3 linked regions of the Alligator mississippiensis genome follow. The protein of the gene in region 1 interacts with the protein of each later gene in a biochemical or structural test. Links are inferred from orthologs where the notes say so. Each region holds a gene or a part of one and is shown in the gene's direction. Other genes may lie near its edges.

What was found.
Region 2: the proteins of PTEN (region 1) and MAGI3 form a complex in vitro, tested with the Homo sapiens proteins (2 studies listed by BioGRID and IntAct, with this or other methods). The link is inferred for Alligator mississippiensis from reciprocal best matches to the Homo sapiens genes PTEN and MAGI3.
Region 3: the proteins of PTEN (region 1) and USP13 form a complex in vitro, tested with the Homo sapiens proteins (3 studies listed by BioGRID, with this or other methods). The link is inferred for Alligator mississippiensis from reciprocal best matches to the Homo sapiens genes PTEN and USP13.

What each region holds. Positions count from the first base shown.
Region 1 is NC_081829.1:65,953,087-65,960,695, forward strand, and holds the start of PTEN (phosphatidylinositol 3,4,5-trisphosphate 3-phosphatase and dual-specificity protein phosphatase PTEN), read left to right. Parts: upstream 1-4,597; 5' UTR 4,598-5,079; coding exon 5,080-5,158; intron 5,159-7,609. UniProt on the Homo sapiens protein: Dual-specificity protein phosphatase, dephosphorylating tyrosine-, serine- and threonine-phosphorylated proteins.
Region 2 is NC_081837.1:45,114,798-45,121,855, forward strand, and holds the start of MAGI3 (membrane-associated guanylate kinase, WW and PDZ domain-containing protein 3), read left to right. Parts: upstream 1-4,039; 5' UTR 4,040-4,136; coding exon 4,137-4,479; intron 4,480-7,058.
Region 3 is NC_081830.1:80,509,761-80,516,891, forward strand, and holds the start of USP13 (ubiquitin carboxyl-terminal hydrolase 13), read left to right. Parts: upstream 1-4,112; 5' UTR 4,113-4,200; coding exon 4,201-4,356; intron 4,357-7,131. UniProt on the Homo sapiens protein: Deubiquitinase that mediates deubiquitination of target proteins such as BECN1, MITF, SKP2 and USP10 and is involved in various processes such as autophagy, endoplasmic reticulum-associated degradation (ERAD), cell cycle progression or DNA damage response.

The sequences.
Region 1 (7,609 bases):
TAAAATAAATTCTAAATACCTATATATTTTGTCATTTGATTTGGGTTTTTTTATCATAGAATACCAGAGCTCCCCCCTACCCCCTTTGCTCACCAGGGCATGGGTCCAGCTGCACCTGCCCCCTCCCTCCCTGCTTCATGGTGCTGAGCAGCCCTGATATGTCCCTGCCAACGCTTTTGCCCCTCATTTCCAACCCACAGCCCTGCCACCTCAGCCCTGTTGGTGCCTCTCACTCCTAACCCACACTCCCCCATTTAGCAGCTTACCTGCTGTTGTCTGTAACTGTTATCTTCAACAGTTCTGTTGTTGCATGGGTTTTGTTTTATTTTATCAGTGTATTAAACTAGCCTCTCCAAGATAGAGCTGCATAACTCCACTTTGTCACTACCTGTATTTTCTCATACACTGGAAAGGGAGGGTTGTTCTAATGACTAAAACACCTGCTGACTTAGAATTGTATTTCATTAGGCTATGAAGAGACAGGTTGTATATAACAAAAATCATGCTTTTATTTTTTAACATTATTAAAAGCATCCCTTGTACATCTGAGAGACTGGACTGTCCTCCCATCCTCTTTACACTTAAGATGAGCCCATCTTAAGACATGCAGATACTCCTTTGGCTATTGGGTTACAAAGGGTTTTTGTACTGCTGCTCCATGATTCATAAGAGTGTCGTTCTCCCTACCTTCTCCAGTATGTCTGCCCTGCTTTAACCTTATTATTTAGCTCAAGAATTTGACACAGGATTTGTCTTGGAATTCATTCCACTGACCATAATAGGATTTGGATTTATTGATGTACATGAGCTACCCAGTTTAATAAATCAGATTAAGATGACTCACGGATTCTACCACCAAATCCATGCACTGAAATGTGTACAAGTTCTTAAAAAAAATGGGAGAACCAAAGTAGGTACTGGACCTTTCAGTTTAATTTGGTTGCATCTGCAAGGTGAATACTACCTACCTAAAAAAAACCCTGTAAATAGCTAGTTCAATATAGCTATAGTTCATTCAGAGCTATTACATTATCACTTCATATTTTCTGTACAATTTTTATATTTTTTTACAGAATAAAAATATATTTTACCAGAAATGTAATCTAAAATATGTATATTGATTTACATAAGGCTATTATTTGTTCACAGCTCCTTCAAACTTCAATGTTAAAAGAGCTATAGTCCTCTTAACCATATTTTTCCTATTCCTTTTTTAAAAAGCTCACACGCCATTCATTGTCTACACACATTTCAAAAAATTATCTGTAATACTGAGTGTTTCATTACTAGTTTATTCTTTCTTAAAAGAGTATTTGAATTAGCCATGTTTCAGGAAAATGTTTTTCCCTGGTCCTGTATTCCCTTCCACTGAACAAAATTAAGTGTTTTATGCGATTAAAAATAAAACACTAGGAAGCACACTTCAAAAATAATCAACATAATTATTTGACTACTTTGGCACCAACTTTAAAAAAAATCTGTAGATGAAAAATATTTCAGGGCAAATAAAGGGAAAGGTTAGTATTTTTCATAAGCCAATAGATGTCAGTTCCAAGCTAAGGATATTTCCATTTTATATCATGCAAAATAAAAAAAACTGGGTAATTTGTTGATTTTTATGCTATAAGCTAAAGACTAGCTTTTGTACAAATATATGTTAACAAAAAATATGGATCAGTGTCTAAAGTCAAATCTTCTGGTTACACTCCAGTATTGTAAACATGAATGTATGCAGTGTTGTTTCTCAAGAAGAGAAAGAAAGAAAGAAATCAAAGTTGTATCCTAAAGGATTAGGTTACCTATTTTTCATATGTGCTGATGCCCCAGACCTGGGTCTTCCTTTCCCATTGGTTTCATCCTTTCAGGAAGGTCTTCATCTGATTTTGTTTTTCAGGTTCAGTGGAGTCCTCATGGACTCTTTACTCTTTGTGTTTGTGTCATAGATTTGAGGAGATATTTGTTGGTTTGTTTGTTTTTTGGGGGGCTTTTTCAAGAGAGGGAGTATGTCCCCACTTTTATTTGAGGAATGTCTCAAGCTGATTGTTTTCCATGCATGAGAAACCTGTGAAATGACATATTTTAAGAAGTAATTACAATGTTTAAGGGGGTGCTGTTTTCAAGCATATCCATAGAATATCCTGAAAAACGTACTTTGTTTCAGAGTTAGGAAATTTTAACACAAGCTAATATTTCACTGCTATACTCAAAAAACAAAGAACACCTGATAACTGAAATCAGTGGGCTTTTCTACTCAAAAATCATGTCTTGATATTTGTAAGATGATGAGAGAATCTCTGCTTCACAACTCTTGAGCTTGGTGAATTGTATCTCCCCTTATGCTGGAAGCTTCAGAACAGAAGAAGAAATTTTGATACGGTATTTTTCAAGAAAAGCAGAGAGGCAATTTTCCAAAACAAGTGAAGAACATTTGGCTTCAGAGGGAAAGCAGAAGACAGAGACATTTATCAGGATAGGTAATTCCATCCTTCCTCCTTCCATGTTCAATATTGATGCATCTAGCAGAACTGAGAACTCAATGCATAACCTGTAAAGCAGGTTTCTTTTCAAAGGCTTCTTATTTAGGAGTGTGGTGGGAATGATACCAGAATGAGAGAAGTACAAGAAGTGTGTTGAGTAGGGAGTGGAGAGAGAGAAATAGGTAGCTGGGTAAATGGCAGTCACAAAAGTAGAACTGCATTGTGGGAGATACATATAGCTGTACTGTAGCTATGTTTATTTTAGGCTAGCAGTAAGACTTTAGTCCTACTTTCTGTTTTGCCTGTTGGGTTACAAAACTTTCTATGGTACTGCTCCATGATTCATTTGCTTTTATTTGTGGGGGACTCCCTTGGGACCACGCAGCAGGTGCTTAGTAGGGGGAGCAGGCTCTATCCACACAGTAGATGTGACTTCAGAAAATCCAGATTATTTTATTGGAATGACAATAGATACAAATATTGTCAAAACATTAAAGAAAAACAGACAATTCTCTCTCCATCAGGGCAGATAGATTATTCTGATGATGTAATCTCATGCTCACTTGCTACATTTGTTCATTTCTGTATAGTGTTCCCTTGTTACCATTCGATGACATCAGCAGACATTTATGACTGAGAAAATCTCTCATTGCCCCCACTAACCTGAAAGAGGAATAAAAACTCCATTTCAAATCTTTCACTGTCGTGTTGGCCACCTAATCCTTCCATTCAATTTGTATGCCTTCCCTCTTCTACTTAGGGATTATCATGCATTTGGGAAGTCACACTTCACTTCTGCATTTTACTGCATGGGGGGGGCACCCCCATCATGGTTATGCTGCTCTCCTGCTGATGGAGGCTTGCCCTTGTATTCTTCCCAGTGCTTGAAATAATCAGGCCCTTGGGCGTTGGGCTGGTGTTGTTAGCATTGGATGTAGGCCTTGTGTGACCAAAGGTACAGGAACAGAGTACGCTGGTAACCCTGAATTTTTTTTCAGTGACTGCAGCTACTCTCTGACCGAGGGGGTTTCTTGATCACAGGCAACAGGTGGCGCCACAACCCGCGTCGCAGGCGGCTCGCCCGCGGGAGGACAGTTCTCCCGCTTGGCAGCAGCTTTCAGAAATTTCATTCCACATTTTCACCGAGGTGCAGCGGGGCCCGGAGGCAGCCTGGCTCTTCGGCTCTGACCGGCGGGGAGGCAGGAGTTCACCTTCCTCCTGGCTGCAGATGAGGCAGGAGTGGGCCCTTGTTGTCCCACAGCCCAGCTGCCGCTTCTGCCACATCCAAGCCTCCTCCTGGAGCCCGAAAAGCCGCACCGAGGCGCGTAGGGCTGGGCAGAGGCACTTGTGTTTCGCTGGGGGAAGCCACGGGGAGCAATTCCGGGTGCTGCTGCCTGTGGCCACCGGCGCCCCCGCGCCGAAGAGCTTCCCCAAGAAGTTGCCCCAAGCGGCCTCCTCAGCCCCGGGACCAGCGGGCCGGCGGATCCCGCTGCCTCCCTCACAACTCCCCCTGCACGGGGCGCGCGCCACAACCCGCACCGCCCCGCGAGCCACCTCCTGCGGCCCCGGGCCAGGGCCGAGCTCCCCCCCAGTCGGGGGAGGGGGCCCGCAGCGGGCAGGGGGGACCACGTGACCCGAGAAAGTAGTTCCGAGTTGGCAGCGAGAGTATCCCTCCGCCGGCCTGCGGCCTGCTCCTGTGACCCCCAACACTCCCCTCAGGAGAACTCTCTATCCTTGCCCCGCAGCGCCCCAGCCCCACGGCGTAGGGGCCCGCAGCGAGCAGCGGGGCAGGGGGGGCGGCGCGTCGTGGGGGCGGGCGGCCGCGGAGCGATGATGTGGCGGGACTACTTTGCGGCGGAGGGGGCGGGGGCGGTGCCAGTGGAGCGAAGCTGTTCGGCGGCCGGTCCCTCCGCGGCGCAGCAGCCATGATGGAGGCTTGAGGCGCTCGGAGCTGCCGCGCGCGGGGAGGCCGCAACCATGAGACGGGCCCGGCTGGGGCCCCGCGCGCAGCCCAGGTCTTGAGCGCGCTGCTTTGCGTCTCCCACCGACCCCGCGCGGGGCTCGGTCGCCTGTCGCCCGCCCCCCGCCCGCCGGTGCGCGGCCCTGAGCGCGGGGCCGCCGCCGCCCCGGGCGGGAGCGGGGCCCGGCCGCTGTCACCATTTCTGGGGCGCGGAGCGCTGGAGGGCGCCTCTCCCCGCCTCCGCCTCACTCGCCTCAAAGACGGCGGCGGCGGCGGCGCAGCCCGGGACTCGGCCGCACGCTGAACCCCTCCGCGGCCGCCGCCGCCGCCCCGGGCCCGGCCCCCGCTCCCGCTCCGCCCGGGGCCGCGCGGGGAGGGGGCAGCAGCCGCCGCCGCCGGGAGCCGCAGCAGCAGCAGCAGGGGGAGGGGGGCCCGCCGCTGCCCCGGGGCCCGGCCGCCTGCGGGCCTCGGGCTGAGCCGCGCGGGCCGCCCCCCCGCTCCGCCGTCCAGAGCCCCGCGGCCGCCGCCGCCCCGAGGTTCGGGGGAGCCGCCTCGGCCCAGCCCCGAGCCCTGTGCGCCCTGCCGCCGCCGCCGCTGCCCTGCCTGCCCGCGCGGCTCCTCGGCGGCCCCCGGCTCCCAGACATGACCGCCATCATCAAAGAGATCGTCAGCAGGAACAAAAGGCGATACCAGGAGGATGGCTTCGACTTGGACCTGACCTGTATCCTGCAGCGGGCTCCTGCCCCCCGGCGCTGCCCGGGCCCGAGCGCGCTGGAGTGCCGACTCCGCGGCCCTTCCCGCCGGGGCCTCGCGCTGACACGGAGCCGGCCCGGCCAAGCCTGCCCCTCCTCGCCTGCCGGGGCCTCTGCGCCCGGGACCGCGCTTGGTCTTTGTGGTGGGGGTGCGGTGCGGTGTGGGGAGCACGGGCTCCTGTGGGACTGAGCAGGGGGGTCTGGGCCTGCCGCGCTGCTGGTCCCGTGCGGGAGAAAACGGGCTGAGAAGTCCTTTGATCCCTGACAGTCATGTCAGGCAGGTTAACGGGGCTTATGTGCAGTAATGGCGATTGCAAAAGATTAACATTAGCGCTCATTTGGAATTGGAGTCTTCTTGCCTGGCCTGCACTGGCACTTACCTTATTTTGGTGTCATGCCTCACTGACACTCCCAGATAATGACTTCGGTGCCCATGCTCAAAGTAATCTTCTGCCTCTCCTTAACTTGTTGGTTGGGTTTAGTTCAGATAGAAGGGGGTTGATTTTTTTTTTTTTAACTGAGCTGTGTACTGTCTTAATTTGGTATCTTAGCTTCTTGAATCAGAAATACCTTTAGCAGATGCATAGCCTTACTTAGTGTTAGTTTGTGTGTGTAAATGGATAGCAAATGGATCCCTTTGATCACATTTCTATTAGTTAAACCTGAGGTTTAACTAAAGATCATAGATGCTTGTGTCCAAATACAAGAAAATAAGCAAATACATTTATCCTTTTAATTTAAAAACAAACTTCAGTGAAAGCTAACATTCTGTAGCCATTGAACTTTACTTCATACTGATCGTTCCTGTAGGTATGAGGCCCCTGTCTTTTTTGCAAATGAGAATAATTAGGTTCTTGTTAACTGAAGCATTGTTTTGGATATATGAAACTGTGAAGAAGAGTTTTTTGCAATATTGGTATGCCATTGGGACTAACCAGTGAAACCATAAAGCGCTAGAACCATATAGTTCTTTTGGCCTGTTAAAGGGATGCATTATGAAAGCATCAGACAGATGTTAGGCTGCCAACATCGTGAAAGGATCTGTCATTTTTCCATCAGAAGTGGAGGTGGTTGCAGATGCTATAGGTTGAACCCACTTTTCACTTTTATCTGTTCTTTAAAATAAAACATCCTTAATGCAAGGATTAGAATTGTAAACATTGAAAATTAGGTTAAGGACCAGAAGTTTAGCTAGTAGTGCTGAATGAGAATATGTTCTGCCTCACAACAAGGACAAGCTGCTTACCGTTTTCTCGGAACATGAGAGAATTAAGTCACAGTTGCAACTACAAATGCGCTTGAGTTCTTGGATATACAGATAGCTAACTGAAAGATTGAATTTGTAATGTTACGTTGATTTAGGACTCAGTCTAAAATGTTGAATACTTAACAGATAAGTGTATTGGCATTGGCAGATGACCCTTAAGGATGTACCTTCCTGATTTTTATTTTATTCTATGAACATATTGACCAAATAATGCTTTATTGTCATTTTAGAGCTGTTTTAAATTCTTCAAAATCTATATTTTGATGACATAACTTGAATAGTAGTAGAAGACTGCATCATCATGCTATAGGTTAGTAGAACATCTGCAGTAATAATATCTGCTCAAACAATATAGCATAAACATCCATGTAATAATATGCCTTATAGCCTAATTCTGTAATTTTGAAAGTTAAGGGTGGGAAGAGAGTAGGGAGGAAAAAAAACTAGGAGCAAGAAAAGAAACCAAATTTTATGCATCTCACTTTTAAAATTTGTCCTTAAAAAGTCTTTTTCAAAGGTGTAATGAGAGTATCTGACAAAACAGAACTTGCATTTATTTATCTATGAATCTAGGTATACTTATTTTTTGTTTCTTGGCAAGGAAATTGTGGGCTATTAATGATTTTGCCTCTTACTTAGCTCAGCATTTGAATGGCATCTTCAGCATTGTTACAGAATTTGTGTGCTCACCCAGAAAAAACCATAAATCTGTTTTTGGGGTTTAAATTGTAAAATGATTTCAATTAAACTTTATTTAGTTACTGTACTTGTAATGAATTAAGTACAGTAGACTTGTACTTTTTAAAAACTACTTTGCAAAGTATTTTTAAAAATGCTTTGCTGAGGAGTTGGTTTTCAATATTAAACGTCATTTTCCTTGTATGTATGTTATTGCAGATTCTGAGCAGTTACTTTATGAAGGAAGAATGCTGTATGTGCCAAATAGCAAAATGTAATTGGATGTACTAGAAAATTAAACCAAGAAAATTGAGGGGTTTTTCTTTATTCTGTAAAACCTAAAGAAGGAAGCCCTTTACAGTTTTTAATGGGATAACTACTCATTATCTAACATCTGGAAGGTATTAAATTGTGCTCTTTTTAGGTAGCTTAACCACTCTTTTCGTGTGTTACTTGTGCACTAAATTCTAAATTA
Region 2 (7,058 bases), on another chromosome or scaffold:
AGGCTTTAAAGTTTTCATTAGCGCTCTGGAAATGAACTCAGGAAAGCTTTGGCAGCATGCATGAAACTTAAGCTTTGGGGACTTTAACAAGATAGGTTTGTTGAGGACATTGATCTTGGAGAAGCTTTTGGAACTGAAATGTTGACAGCTGTCTTCATGGATACTTGTGAATAAAATAAATCTTTTGCTTAATTCATCATCTGAGATCACTGAATTATTTCCGACTCCTTTGAGGTATAAGTGTCTGTTACGGGCTTATGTGGAAAATCTCTTTGTAGATTACAGAAACTGGCGCAGATTAGACTAGACTAATATTTCCAGAATTTATCCAGTGACTAGATCTCAAAGTCATGCCCTTGTTTTTGAAAATGTTAGGCTGTTTGGTTTTATATATCTCAGTTTAGAGCAAGGAATACAGCTAGTCAGTTATACATGGTCTTTATAATTATACAAATGAGGAAGCTAGTAAAGAGAATGAAAGTCAGAAGTGAGACTATTAACATCTTCATGGATTAGACTCAGCATGGAAGCTATTTAATCATCTGAGAATGGAGTTGGTGTTGCCAGATCTCATAATTTGTGTTGTTCTTAAAACCCTGAGGTCATGTAAATGTATCAGTGTGTCAGCTTTAAGTGGTTTTTTTTTTTTACATTTTGCTTTTCAAAGTGAGTTTCTGGCTCTCCTGGTTTTGGAGAAAAGCTTGAAAATGTGCACCGAGATCAATGCAAATCAAGATGGGGAAATAATGCAAATCTTTTCTAGCTCATCATTTTAATCCACTCCAGGACTTTCCCAGGCTTGATTTTTATGGGGTTTTTTTACCATTTGAAGTTGGTTGCAGTCACCAGTAGCTTACATGCCCCTAAATCAAAAGGGAAGCAGGGCACCAAGGAAAAGGAACCCTCTAGCATTGCTAAATGGGGAGGTTCATGTGAGACGGGGCGCTCACAACTGCAAGGTAACGCACACTGGAATGAATAATTTAACAGCCACTCTAATTTAGAGGAAAATGATCTAGGTATCACTGTGGATGGCCCAATTAAAGCCTCTCCGCAATATGCAGCAGTGATCAAAAAGGTAAACAAAGCATTAGGATGTACAAGGAAAAACTACGAAAAACATTGCTGCTGCTGTTGGGTGGATCTGCTGCGCTCTGCCTGGCAGAGAGGGGGGAAGCCTGGAGAGCAAAGGGTCCAGTTCTGCTTGTGCCAGCTGTGAGACCAGTGGCCAGGTGATGGCAGCCCCCCTCCTGGCTGCCCTGCCTGGAAGATGGACTGCAGGGTTACAGGGAGAGGCCGCCCTGCAAACGAGCCTGGCCGGGAGCACGTGCTCCAGAGAGAAGCCAGACTCCCTTGCAGGAGGCTGTGGAGAGAATGGCACCTTGGGAGGGAAGAGGGACAAACCGTGTCCTTCACTGAGCAGGGGATGAAGGGTTTCAGACTAGGAGGGCCCAGGGACCCATACGCTTACTTTGTGCAATAGCAACATGAACCAGACTCTACCCCTCTTCCCCCAGGGCTGGGTGGGAGGTCAACGAAATGCCAGGGTTTGTGTGAGGGGAGCGGGCGGGGTGGATGGCAGGGTCCTGCCCTGGGGCAGCCCATGCTGGACCTCACCCTGCAACGCAACACCCGTGTCTGGAAGGCAGTGTTCAGGGCTGGCCACTCCTCTGACAACAGAAACAGAATGGCACCAGGGGTTGGGGGCTAAAACCAGAGACTCGGATCAAAGCCTTCCACAGTGAGGTGTGGGAGGCAGGGACAAAACGGAGAGATACGTAAATTAGTGAATGGTGCTGATTAGAGAAAGTAAATTAAACTCTCCTATTTCCTTTCCCCGAGAAGAAAAAAATGATGCAACTGAAGGATTTGATAAAAATTGAACTGTTTTATTGAACCATTGTAAAATTCAATATATAATTAACCTGTGCAAGGCATTGGCAAAAGGTGTGAAGACCTTCTAGGTTCCCTAGAGGACTGGACATGCATCCTTCTGGGCGACCAGAGCTATACTGAGGCAGGCTAGCACGCTAGCTGCAGCCGCCCAGCACTTTTGAATGTCACGCTGCATCCATTAAGGTGCCACCGTGTAGACTTAAGAGTATGACCTCAGTTTTTAAAATTTTGGCCAATGAGAAGATCCAGTTACATTTAATAGGATAAGAGAGATTTTTACGAGGGCTATAAACACTTTTTTGTTTCAAGGGTATAGACCAACTACCACCCTCGACTTGGAAAGAAATTTCCTCTAATGAACTGCCCATAATGTCTGTGCGTTACGGTTTGCTGTGCCTTCCTTTGAAGCATTTGGCACAAGCCAAGGCCAGAGAGAGGCTACTGGGATGGCTGGACTATTGATTTAGTCTGGTGTGGCAAGTCTACGTGAAATGCTAAATTTTGGATTCAAATGGATTCGACAATGTCCCTTTTACTGTCCAGGATGCCTAACACCACAAAGCCTCCAGCCTTCTCACTCGCATTCTGCAAGCGTAAAAGAAAATTTAGATCATTTTGAGTTATTTTCACGTCTGTTGGCAGGTAGCCAAGTACACTTCAAATGGCACCGCATGTAATGAGTCCGATCCATCCCTGGCAGAGCTCCATTAACACGAACGGAGCCACAATCATATTTTCACCAATATGATCAGCTGGAGGCCAGTTAATGTCTCCCTAGCCACTCGTGTAACTTTTAAATGATATCCTCCCTTCTGCCGGCTGCCCTTCCAAAATCCCTTTGTCCCGAGATTCAAATGCCACTAATTTTTTTGTTAAAGTCCCTATTTTTGGCAGTAATTACCATATGACCTATAGGAGATACGGGCCGGTGGAGATAAAGACGTGCAGAAGCCACAGGAAACCCACAGCAAAGCGTCGTATCCGTTTGTTAGAGGTGAAAGTTTGCGGTGATTTCTGAACGAGAAAATTAGCTGCCTTTTACGGTTCTGCACAGATGTTAATTATGGGGGAAAGTTCAGCGTGCAAAGCTGGTATTTCTAGTCTCTGTTATTGTGGAGATGGCCAAGAGTATCAGGAAACAAATAAATGATTGTGACGTAGAGCAAGGGCCAGAGGTGGGCCGTTTCCTTGTGTGCGAAGGAACACGCGTACGTATCTCAGCTATGTAAGGTCACACCTCGCACCCTCCCCGCTTCCGCTTTGATTGCCTTGTGTACAGAAGAGCTTCAGAAACGATTGTGCTGGATTCCTTGAGCTGCGGGCTGAACGGGCACGGTCCTGTGGCCAGCCTCGAGGCAAGGCGGTCGCCTTCCCCTTCCCAGAGCAAGCCGGCCCGCCTCGCAGGGTTGAGGCAGGGACGGCCCTCGGCTTCGCAGCAAGAAATGCAGTTTCTGGGGGACCGCGCGCGAGGGCCTGTATCGGACCGGTCGGGCGCGCTGAAGCAGAAGGCTCTCTAGGGATTATTTTTCAAGTTGACATCTAGGGTTCGGCGTGAGCCTTGCCAACATCAGTAGGTGTTCGGGAGTTGTCCTGACTCCCCCCAGCCTCGAGACTGGAGGGCGGGAGCCCGAGGGCCGCCCCAGCCTCCCGGCGGGCCGCGCGTACCTGTCAGCACCCGTTCAGGTGGCATTTCCCCACGCGGAGGGAAAGGGTGCCACTGCCGCGTGGCCCCGCACGAGGTCAAGGGCAGCAGGCTGCAGCTCCTGCTTTGCAGCGGGCGGGCGGGCGGGCCGGGCCGGGCCGCACGGCGGCGAGGACGGGCTGGCTCTGAGCAGGGTTGTTGCGCGCTCTGCTCTCCCGTGCGGTCTCCAGCGATTGGGGCCCGGGACGTCGGGAGGCAGAGGCCGTGCCCCGTGCCCCGGGGAAGAGCGACCCCAGCCCGTGGTTCGTGTTAAACCCACCTGCCCCTTGATTGATTGATTGATAGATTGATCAATCTCCCCCCGCGCTGCGCTGCGCCGTGTCCCACAAGCGGGCGGGCAGACACACGTGCGCGGCGCGGCGCGGCGGGGCGGGGCGGGGCGGGGGGAGGCGTGACGTCAGGGGGCGGGGCGTGCCGGGGGCGGGGCGGGGCGGGGCCGGGCAGTCGGTTGCTGGGCGGTTGGTGTGTGGGGTCGGGTCGCGTCGCGTCGCGTCGGGCTGGGCCGGGCCGGGCCGGCTCGGGAGCCCCATGCGGCGGCATGTCCAAGACGCTGCGCCGGCGGCGGCACTGGCTGAGCAAGGTGCAGGAGTGCGTGGTGTCCTGGGCGCCGCCGCCCGACCCCGGCTCCGGCTCCGGCCCCGGCCCCGAGCTGCTGCGCGGCGGCGCCGAGCGCGGAGAGTTCCCCTACCTGGGCGCCCGCCTGGCCGAGCCCGGCCCCGGCCCCGGCCCCGGCCCCGCGCTGCTCTCCGGCAAGCCGCCCAGCCCCGGGGACGTGCTGCTGGAGGTGAACGGCACCCCGGTGAGCGGCCTCACGCACCGCGACACGCTGGCCGTCATCCGCCACTTCAGGGAGCCCGTGCGCCTCAAGACCGTGCGCCCAGGTGAGCCCCCCCGCGCCCCGCCGCCGCCGCCCTCACCACCGGCCAGCGGCTGGAGCGGCCCTGCCTGCGTCCTCGAGACTATGGGGAAACTGAGGCTGTCGCAGCGAGCGGCGCCCGCATTGCTGCTGGCACTTGGAGGGCCAAGTTTGCTCTCCCAGGCGCGGGGCTGGGGACAGCCCTTGCCTCCGCCTGGGGGGTCACTCGCTCTGGTTGGCACGGGAGCTTGTGGCCGAGCAAACCCGTCCTGGCGGGGGGCCCTCCTGCGAAACTCGGCTTCCGCCGCTGCGTCCGACCTGCAGCTCCCCACGCTGCGAAGTTGGCACGAGTAACTTGGCTTTGACGTCCCGCTCCCGCGGCTCTGCTGCGCCCCCTCTCCAGAGCGCTGCGGGGGCCGGTGGCCGGCGCCTGGCACGCGAGGCGCGCGCGGGAAACTTGTGCCGTGCGAGGCGGTGGCGCTGGGCGGGCGGGGAGCGGAGATGGGCCCCTCCAGGGTGGCTGTCAGCTTTATGTGGACCCACAGATTGTCCGCACGGGCCTTGTAAAATGTGTGGCAGGAGTTGAGGCCGGGGGGAGGCTTGTGGCAATAGAGATAAGAGTATTTATTCCGAATAGGTTCTTTCCTTCTAAACTCGGTGGAGGAAAGATGGTGAGGGTAAAAGCAGCACAGAGAGAACCAGCATGTTTTGGTTTTTTTTCCAGGCATCCTGCCATTTTTGGATGAAGTAGGACTTGCCCTTTGCAGAGCGTTAGTCCTGACAGACCTGTTAAAAATGCTTGCCCTGTGGTCGCCTGCTACAGAAACGAGTCTGATGGAAAGCTTTGGTCTTGCAGCGAAGGGTTGCCCTCCCACGGTTGTTTTATAGCTTCGGCATTAAGATTTCGTTCTTTTGTTCTGCTTAGGATATTTCCTGTCCGCTCTGTCTTCAGATCGTTTGGTGTTGTGCTGCGTCCTGATGCGAGCATTGTAGCTCATCTAAACATCCGTGTGTCACGGTGAATAATTTCTAGTTGCAACCGCTGAAATGCGGGGTGTGCATGTGATGTGTGTAAGGTGGCTTGGCACTTCCAAGCGAATGTTTCCTGCAGCCGCAAGAGGCATCGGAAAGGATTGTAGTCCCTTGACTGAAGGCAGAGGTGGGTATTTCTAAAGGCAAGGCTCTCTGGGTTTTGGCCCCAGTCGCATCTCTTAGTGGATTAACATCTATATAATCTTAAAATCCAGTAACGCTACAAACAGGTCTCTCAAAGAAGCTCAAAAAGATAAGAAATGAAGCGTGTGTGCTGGCTGTGTGTAAAACATTGGGACTGACTAGGAATGAAATGGCAGATGTCCCCAGGGCAAGCAGGAGATTCTGCACTGTGCTGATTAATTTTGAACCACTTTGATAAATATGGATTCTGAATTTAAGAAGGGATATGCTACTTTTCCTTTTTATCTGAGATTTACATGGCAAATGGGATTTTTTTCAGTTTTTTAATTAGGCTATTGTCAGATAAACTAAGCACTTTACCTTGCATCTATAGTGAGCAGGACTACACAGCAGTTTTAATACCAGAGCTTAACCTTTGGGGCATTGTGATGGCGGGGTAGTGATTATTCCCGGGCTATAATATGTGCATACAGGTGTAAAGGTACATAACATATGGCTGTACAAATCGGGGTGAAACTGTCAAAGAGAATCGCTTGCAGTAAAGGTAGATTTAAAGGAACTTGCCGATGAATCTCTCTCTCTCTCTTTCCTGCTCACTTTTCCCATCAAGTGGGTTTTTGTTTTTCTGGTGTGTGAGACATGAAAATGGTTAGGGACTCTGATTTCTGTGGAAGTTAATCGCGCTCTATTTGATAGCTCAGTGTCACAGAGTTCTGAAATACAATTTCTGAAAGTTATCTCCGTAGTGATGTTCGCTGCTTATTTGAAGCGGGTGAAATCACAGTGGTCAGATGATATCCTGGCTTTGTCCGTGGTCAGGACTGATGTAAATGATGCAACGTTCTTGGAATTCCTCATCACTGTTTCAAAGCAATTCCTTTATTTCCCAAAGAAAACTCAGCTTCTGTTCAGAGAATGGGATTAATTCAAGTGTACTATAATTAGCCAGCACTATCAAATCATTCCAGTAAAGTCCTCTTTACCAGCATGCATCTCAAATGTCAAGTTCATGCTAAATAGTGTTACCTGCAATCACACAGACTAATGATTCACAATTTTCAATCTGAAGCTAATTACAGCTTCTCCAGTTCTGCACAGCGCGGGTGTGAACTTGACAAAGTTTAAACAAGTATTAATAATCGCGAATTTTCTCTTCGATTATTTTTCGGTGAATCCAGAGCTGTAGTGTGGCAGTAGACGGTCATAGCAATACTGACATCTTCCATCTGTGGGACTGCAGCAGTTAGTCATGGATGCTAAGCACGCTGCTTACACAGCCACCACATGTAAACGCTGCCCTGGGTCAGATGTGTTTTCTTCGTTCGGAGGTTAGCTGTATCTCTGCTTTACAGTTTTGGAGCAAATCAAACTTGGAACTAAGTTTTTTTATCCTAAAACATGTTGCAAAGTTAAATGTGCTGTGGATTA
Region 3 (7,131 bases), on another chromosome or scaffold:
CTAGGAAGGATTGAGCTCAGTGCTCAATAAATATATTAATATTTCAAGATACTTCTACTACACAGAATGACATCGTTATCTACAATACACAACTAACACTTTACATTCAAAGTAACTGTAAATCCAGTTAATCCTTTGACAAGCTCCTGGGAATTAGACGTTATTCATAGTTGACAAATGACAAAATTAAGACCATACGTATATTGTCAGGTGGGAGTGGAACTCCAGTACAAAGTGTTTTAAAAGCATGAAGAAGGATTAAGGAACACAAATCTCATTGACTTTATTGAGGGTTATGGTCCTAAATCATTTTGGGTGCTTTTGAAGAATCCCGCCCCGATGGTTTTTACTCTTACGCTGGGTTTTGAAGCAACACATGCTGAAGGACCCAAATGGGCAAATATTAAAACTAAGGGTATTCCCTATGATGGATAGGTTATTCAGCTTTTATTAATGCAAAAAGGAAGATGCTAGTAGCATATGAAAAGGGAGAAGCTTCCAACTTCTACTGAACTGTCTGTGGACTAAGGAGAGAAAAGTAGGAAGCTAGTTGATGGAGGTTTCCATAAAAGCTTTAACGATGGCTGAAGAACAAGCGGCAAGGTCCAGGGAACTGTACTGATACACAACAGTTAATAGTTCAAACTCGGGCCCAGTGGACTTGACATTGATCCACTCTTACTAAGGGAAGCGGTGTGCCCAAATTTGAACACAGCTGAAAATGAGACCTAGGAATCCCTTGTTCTATTAACAAGAATTGTGCAAGATAATGAGCTACCTATGCAGCATCTCGTATTTTAAAAACCTAATTGATAATTCAAATGTGCAACACTGTTGGATGCTTGATTAGGCAAGCTTCTAAATTAATTTTTTAAACATCTGTTTTAAAAAAAGCATTCAGGAATATTTCTGATTGTTCCCCATGTGCTAAATTAGCCCAAACAAGAGCATAATACATGCAGTGTTGTTTTACTCTACATACCCAAAAAACAGCAAGTCAAATCTGGGTATTTATGGATTAAAATATTCAGCATATTGGATCCCTGAAGAACATAACTAATTATTTTAATTAAAAATGTAAACATTTACGAAGCAATAAAAGCTTTATACTTTTCGTCTAGTTTGCCTAAAAGTAATTGGGGAACACTTTGTGGCATGTAAAAGCAGACTGTAATCCAAAATTACATTTAGGTCTTATTCAAGCAACCATCTAATGAGAAAATTCAATAAGTGAATATAGATTATGCCTTAACTAAAGGTTAAATAAGTTCATATCTAAAACTGAAGCATGGAGTTTCCTGTTACAATGCTGATAATAAGGGTGGGTGTTGTGCGATTAGTTTGTTTCTTTTCTTTTTTTACCGAACATCAAAGGGCAGATTTGAGTGATGTTAAAGAGGGAAATGTTCTTCAGCAAAGATAATTTTAAATAGGTCAGAATTTGTAAGAGCTGGGCATAAGGACAATTCTTTTTTTGTGCTCAGATGGCAGGGTGATAAAAATTATTATAGATAATCCAATAATGTCTCAGATATGCTAGCGGCTGTATTGTGTGTCAACCTTTCTGTGTTAGTGCCCAGTGCAATGATGGATGGTCATCACTCCATCCTTCTGATGTGACACCCTAGGGCAACAATCGCTGTTTTAAATTGTAAAAATATACTCTGGCACCGTAAGGGCACACGTGCTTGCACCATCTTACATTTTCAGAATTGTACAGAGGCGCAGATGCACTGCACAAGTTTAAATGACTGTAAAGTGTACTTACTGTTAAGCGGCTTTTTTTTTTTTTAGCCTGGCAGGCATTATTCTTCCCGCTAGGGGGTAGCATTTCCTCAGGGTCTGATCGCTACACATTGAATCTAGATTACTGACCGGTGGGTTTCTGATCCTTTTTTACCAACAGAAGTAGAAGTGACCCTCTTTCATTCCCTTTTCATGATAATAACCTTCTTTCTTCCATGCTTCATAGACTATTTCAAATAAGTACAACCTCGTTTGTTTTTTCTGTTGCAGCCAAATGCTGTAAAGCCCACTAAAACCAACGGGGTCTTTAGAGCAAGCTCTTTGTGATCTGCCAGTTATCTTCCTGCAGGTTAAGTGGCTTCTGTTCATATCATTCCATTATGCTGTGTTATTAGCAAGAGAGGAGTTATGTGCTCATGAGCCTTTCCAGTTTGAAAGAAATCCCTCTATCGGAACCCTCGACTCTTTCTCCAATACCTAACAGATCCTTTGCTACCAGGACAGATGCTGCTCTCGGGTAAGTCCTGAGCAGTGGTCTCCACTGGCTCACAGAGAAGATGTTACTTGCACCCATAGGAAGTTGAAAAGTTTAAAGTTAACAGCAGGAGCAACATGCAACATGCTGCTTGCTCAGTGTTGTTGCCAATGAGCAAGCAAGGTAGGGGATCACTGGTCCAGAGTAATTCTACTGAGTTTATACAATGCCCTCAGGATTTAACACACAATTTCCAATGCTACAAGGGCTAACTTTCTTAAAAGGCTATAAATTAAGCATTTCACCCTAAGCGCTGCTTCCACACGAAGCATTTCACAGTTCTGTTTCTTCATCCCTTGATGTAAACACTTTGCTTGCACTTTAAGGGCCTCAGTGTAAACTGTATGTAACAGCAGCAGGAGTCACGTAATGGTCTATCCATCGTGTATCTTTGTAGACCAGAGCAGAAAGAAGTGACTCGTGTCAAATTGTAAAAATCCCTGAAATAATTAGATACATTTTTCAGATTTTTTTTTCAATTTGTCACTAGTCACTTCTTTCCACTCCTGTTATTATCTTCAGAGTCCCCCTATCCTTTAGCCCATCAACATCCCTTCCAACATGAGAAGAACATAAATGAACCAGAGAAAAGGAAATATGGTTTTGGACTAGACCACTACCCTGTGACTCAGGAAGTCTGGGTTCATACCCTAGCAGTGCCGCAGGCTTCCTGCATGTCCTCTGTCGGGTCATCCAACACCTGCCGCAGTTTGACCATGATATAGCTTGGAGTCTATTCAACAAATAGATTATAATAATACCTTAGACCAGTGGTTCTCGGTTTTTTTCGACTCAAAGCACTCCTCAGAAAACAGTAACTCTTATTTTTCTCTCAAATTTTTTCCTACAGAAACCCCCCCCCAGCAATTCTCCTGTTGCAAATAACTCGTAAAGGCCACAACAAGTAGGAATGTTTTTAACACTCCAGATTCCTAGTTGAAATCTCTGGCTTTATCTCGTGAAACGTGGTTTTCACACCTAACAGCACTAACATTGCGTGGCAGCCCCGGAGCACCCTTGAAAGGGTCTTGGGGCACCCCAGGGTGCCATGGCATCCTGCGTGAGAACCACTGCCTTAGGAAATCTCTGCAGTTGAGCACAGTCCCGAGACAACGAGTTGGTTGTAAAACAGTGTCCAAGATCCAGGAGGGGTGCGGGGGGGGGAGAAATCTTTATTCTGGGTCTTGTGATTTGGCCGAAATTCCCCCAGGCGAGATCTGATGCGGCGGCGCGCGCTGCGAAGCCCTCTAAAGCCGAGAAGGGGTCTCATCACGATCCGCCTGCGATCCTGCGGGTTCAACGGCCTCCGCTCAGATCATTTCAGCGGTACATGGATCATTTCAATACGCGGACGCGGAGGGTGCATGGATCTGGCTGCAGGGAAAGTTCATTTTAGGACGCGGGCGGCGCAGCTAAGAACAGCTTTCGGAGCCTGGCCACAAGAGCATTTCCACCTCTTTTGAGTCGGTGTGCTAAAAGGGATCGCCTTGACCCTGGTCTGCCCTTTTCCCCTGGCCCGGGCAGAGGTGGGATTGTCCCCTAGTTTTGGGGGGAGACAACGGCACCCCAGGAGCCACCCAGGCCAGAGATGCCTCTCCCCCGGGGCAAAGGGGAGCAAGCCCTCTCCCCCTTCCTGCCCGAGCCCGCAGGAGCTGCGGCCTAGAGCCGGGCGCGGGGCTGGACACAGGCGGGCGGTGCTCGGCGCTGCAGCGGGCGGGGCACGGAATCGGGTGTCACTCCGGCTTGGCCCGGCGGGCACCTCCCCGCCCCCGGCCCGGCAGCTGGTGCGGCTCCTGCTGCCATTGGATTAAAAATAGCAGCCGCCCTCGCGGCCCCCCTTCCCCCGCCCGGCCCGGCTCGGCTCGGCTCGGCGCGGCGCGGCGCGGGCTGCGGGCGCGGGCGCGGGGCCGGGCGGGAGCATGCAGCGCGCCGCGCTCCTGGGCGGCGGGCGGGATGCGCAGATGGCGGCGGCGGACCTGGGCGAGATGCTGGTGCCCTACATGCCCACGATCCGCGTGCCCAAGGCCGGCGACCGCGTCTACAAGGCGGAGTGCGCCTTCTCCTACGACTCGCCCGTGAGTGCGACCCCCCTCCCTTCGCCGCAGGGCAAGCCAGGGCTCCTCCGCTCCTAGGGGCATTGCAAAGGGCAAGTGGGGGGATCCCCCGCTCGCTGCCCCCCCTTCACAGCTGGCACTAGGCCTTGGGTTTCCCAGGCTGGGGGTTGGTTTGATTTTGCAGGCTCCGGGCGGCGGTGGACTAGTGCCCCCCGGTTCTTCTCTCCTCCTTGTCCTCCCCGAGCAAGCGAAGCCACCGAGCGGGCGCCGGTGTGGCGGTTTTTGGAGGGGGCTCGGGGCAGTTTGCCAGGGGCCCTCGGCTCTGCGCGTCGCTGCTGGGTTTTTGCGTTCCTGCAGAGCTGGCGACGGGCAGCGAGCGTCCCCATTCATGTATTTTGTGTCAGCGGGATGCTCCGTAGTGTGGCCTTCGGTGTAAATGTCCGGTCACTTAAAAAACCCCCGGCCCTACCTGAGATTTACCTCTTCCGTTTTGTACAGGGGCATCGCTATAACCCGCAGGAGAGTCGCATTTTTTATCCCTTTTTTGTGTAGTTGGCTGTCAGGTCTCTGCTTGGTGTGTGCGGCCTCCGATGCTATCACATGTTCGTTGGGCCCTGATATTGCAATTGGATCCATGTAGAGACTTGCGCCCATGTAAAACAACATACTTCTTTGGGTTCGGTTGCAGGATCTGGGGTCTTGGCTATTCTCTTCATTGCTTATAAACATCAACAGTGAGGCATCAAATCCTTCCACTTAGATGATAGGTAAGGGAAGTGAAAGGCTGTTTTAAATCCACTGAAGTTGAATGTGCTTCTAATATAGTTTTCCATAAGTAAGGTGAGTACTGTGCATTGACATCAAGTTAAAGTGTCATTTCATAGACATTAGGGCTGGAAGGGACTTCGGAAGATCATCGAGTCCAGCCCCCTGCCCAATATGCCAGAGAGAAATCAAAAAGAAGCACAACATCTGTAATCCTGAGTTTTCAGATGTTTGCGCGATTCTGATTTTTAACTCAATTCGTATTTTTTTTTTTTGCTTTGATATTTCACTTTAATTTGGGGAATCCAAATGGGTTTCAGAGGTGACTCAGCTGTCTGGTGTTCATCATGTCTTGTTGAGGACAGGTTATTTTTACCCATACACTTGAGATCTCAAGTGTCACCAGCAGCCCTCTCTGCTTTGGGATGTCGAAAAAGGCCAGATCAGATGCTACAACAAAGAAATGAATTATTACATATTTAATGGGAGTGGAGGGAACAGAAATCAATGTGATGCAGTGTTCCCTTGCTACTTTTCTGTTTGATCTAGCATGTAATTAATGGATCTAGTAACCTGTCAAGACCTCCGAGACATTGTGGTAAAAAGTTTGTGTTAACTGACAGGCAAAGCTGCTAAATTACGAATGAAATGGAAAAAAAGAGATCAGGTGACTGAATATTAACAGAAAAACATATGTAAGTGGAATATAGAGGTATAGTTTCCGAGTGCCCAAGTCCTCTTGCGTTCAGTGGGAGCCACTAGGCCAATGCTTAGACCAATCTTACATTGTGCCATGATAAGACTCCTTCTTCATACAAGTTTGTAAATACAGAGTGGCCAAATGCTGAAGTTGCTTGTACCCATGCAGCTGCAGTGAGAGCCCAATTGGGCTTAGTATCTGTTGTCCAGTGCCAGTCCTCAGTGCCTTTGGGCAGAAGATTTATTCCAGTGTCCTCTCTTGTATTGGAGGGTTGGGTGATTAGGACAGTGCTCACTGGTATTATTTCTAAACCTAGCTCTGACTCTAGTCATCAAACCTGTTTGAGCTAACGCACCCCGTAAAGCCATGTACACATTTGAAAACGACAACACTTCATTGCTTTCTCCACAATGTAAATGTGTGAGCTAAGTGTACACGTGTGTCATAGTTAATGGAAGATGTTTCCCGCACCATACTTCATATTAAATTGGTTTGGTAACGTGTTCTTGCAGGTTGGCACACATGAACGACTGTGTATTGGGTTTTGCCTGGGCCAGTGGTTCTCAGCCCTTTTAAATTCAGGGCGCCCCTTCAGAAGGTTTCTGAATTTAGTGGCACCACCGTTAAAAGCCACCGTTGTGCTGCCTCAGTTTACCTTGGTGGTTCTCATTGGGGTGCTGCTGCTGCCAGCTGAAGGCTCCCCTTATGTGGAGCATAACCCCTGGCTGGGAAGCAGCAGTAACAGGACCTCAGCGCTTCTGCCTACCCTAGGTTTATCTGATAAGCTTATCTGAGTTGAGCGGAGACAGTGCAACAATAGCGTTTCTCAACCAGGATGCTGCTCAGTTTATCCTAGGTTCAGCTAATAAGCCTGATGCGGACAGGAGGGCCTGCTCCTGCCATCGCCACTCCTCGGTCCAGCTCTGCTTTCTGCATGAGGTGTGTGGCACCGTTGAAAGGATCTTGCGATACCCCGGGGAGCTGCAGCATTGGGCTAGATGTCTATTCTGTCTTTGGAAGAGGAAGGTAGATTTGATTCTGGAGCATTAAAACAAATGAGAACCCTTACCAAAATACCCTCTTGGGTTTCTTATCTGGTGGTTTGCTGGTTGCATTTTCAACCTGGGAAGTAACTATTTCCCCCCATAATTTACAACCTTACATAATATTTCCTTATACCCTCTTGTCCTCCTTGTTTGACACCTAGTACTGCATTTGTCACTATAACACAAGTCCCTGCAGATTTGTTTAAAACCAGCTGCTTTGCCAGTGTTTTATTCTGGCCCTTGAATGGCAAATTTTATTTTTATAGTAGATCTCATTAACACCAT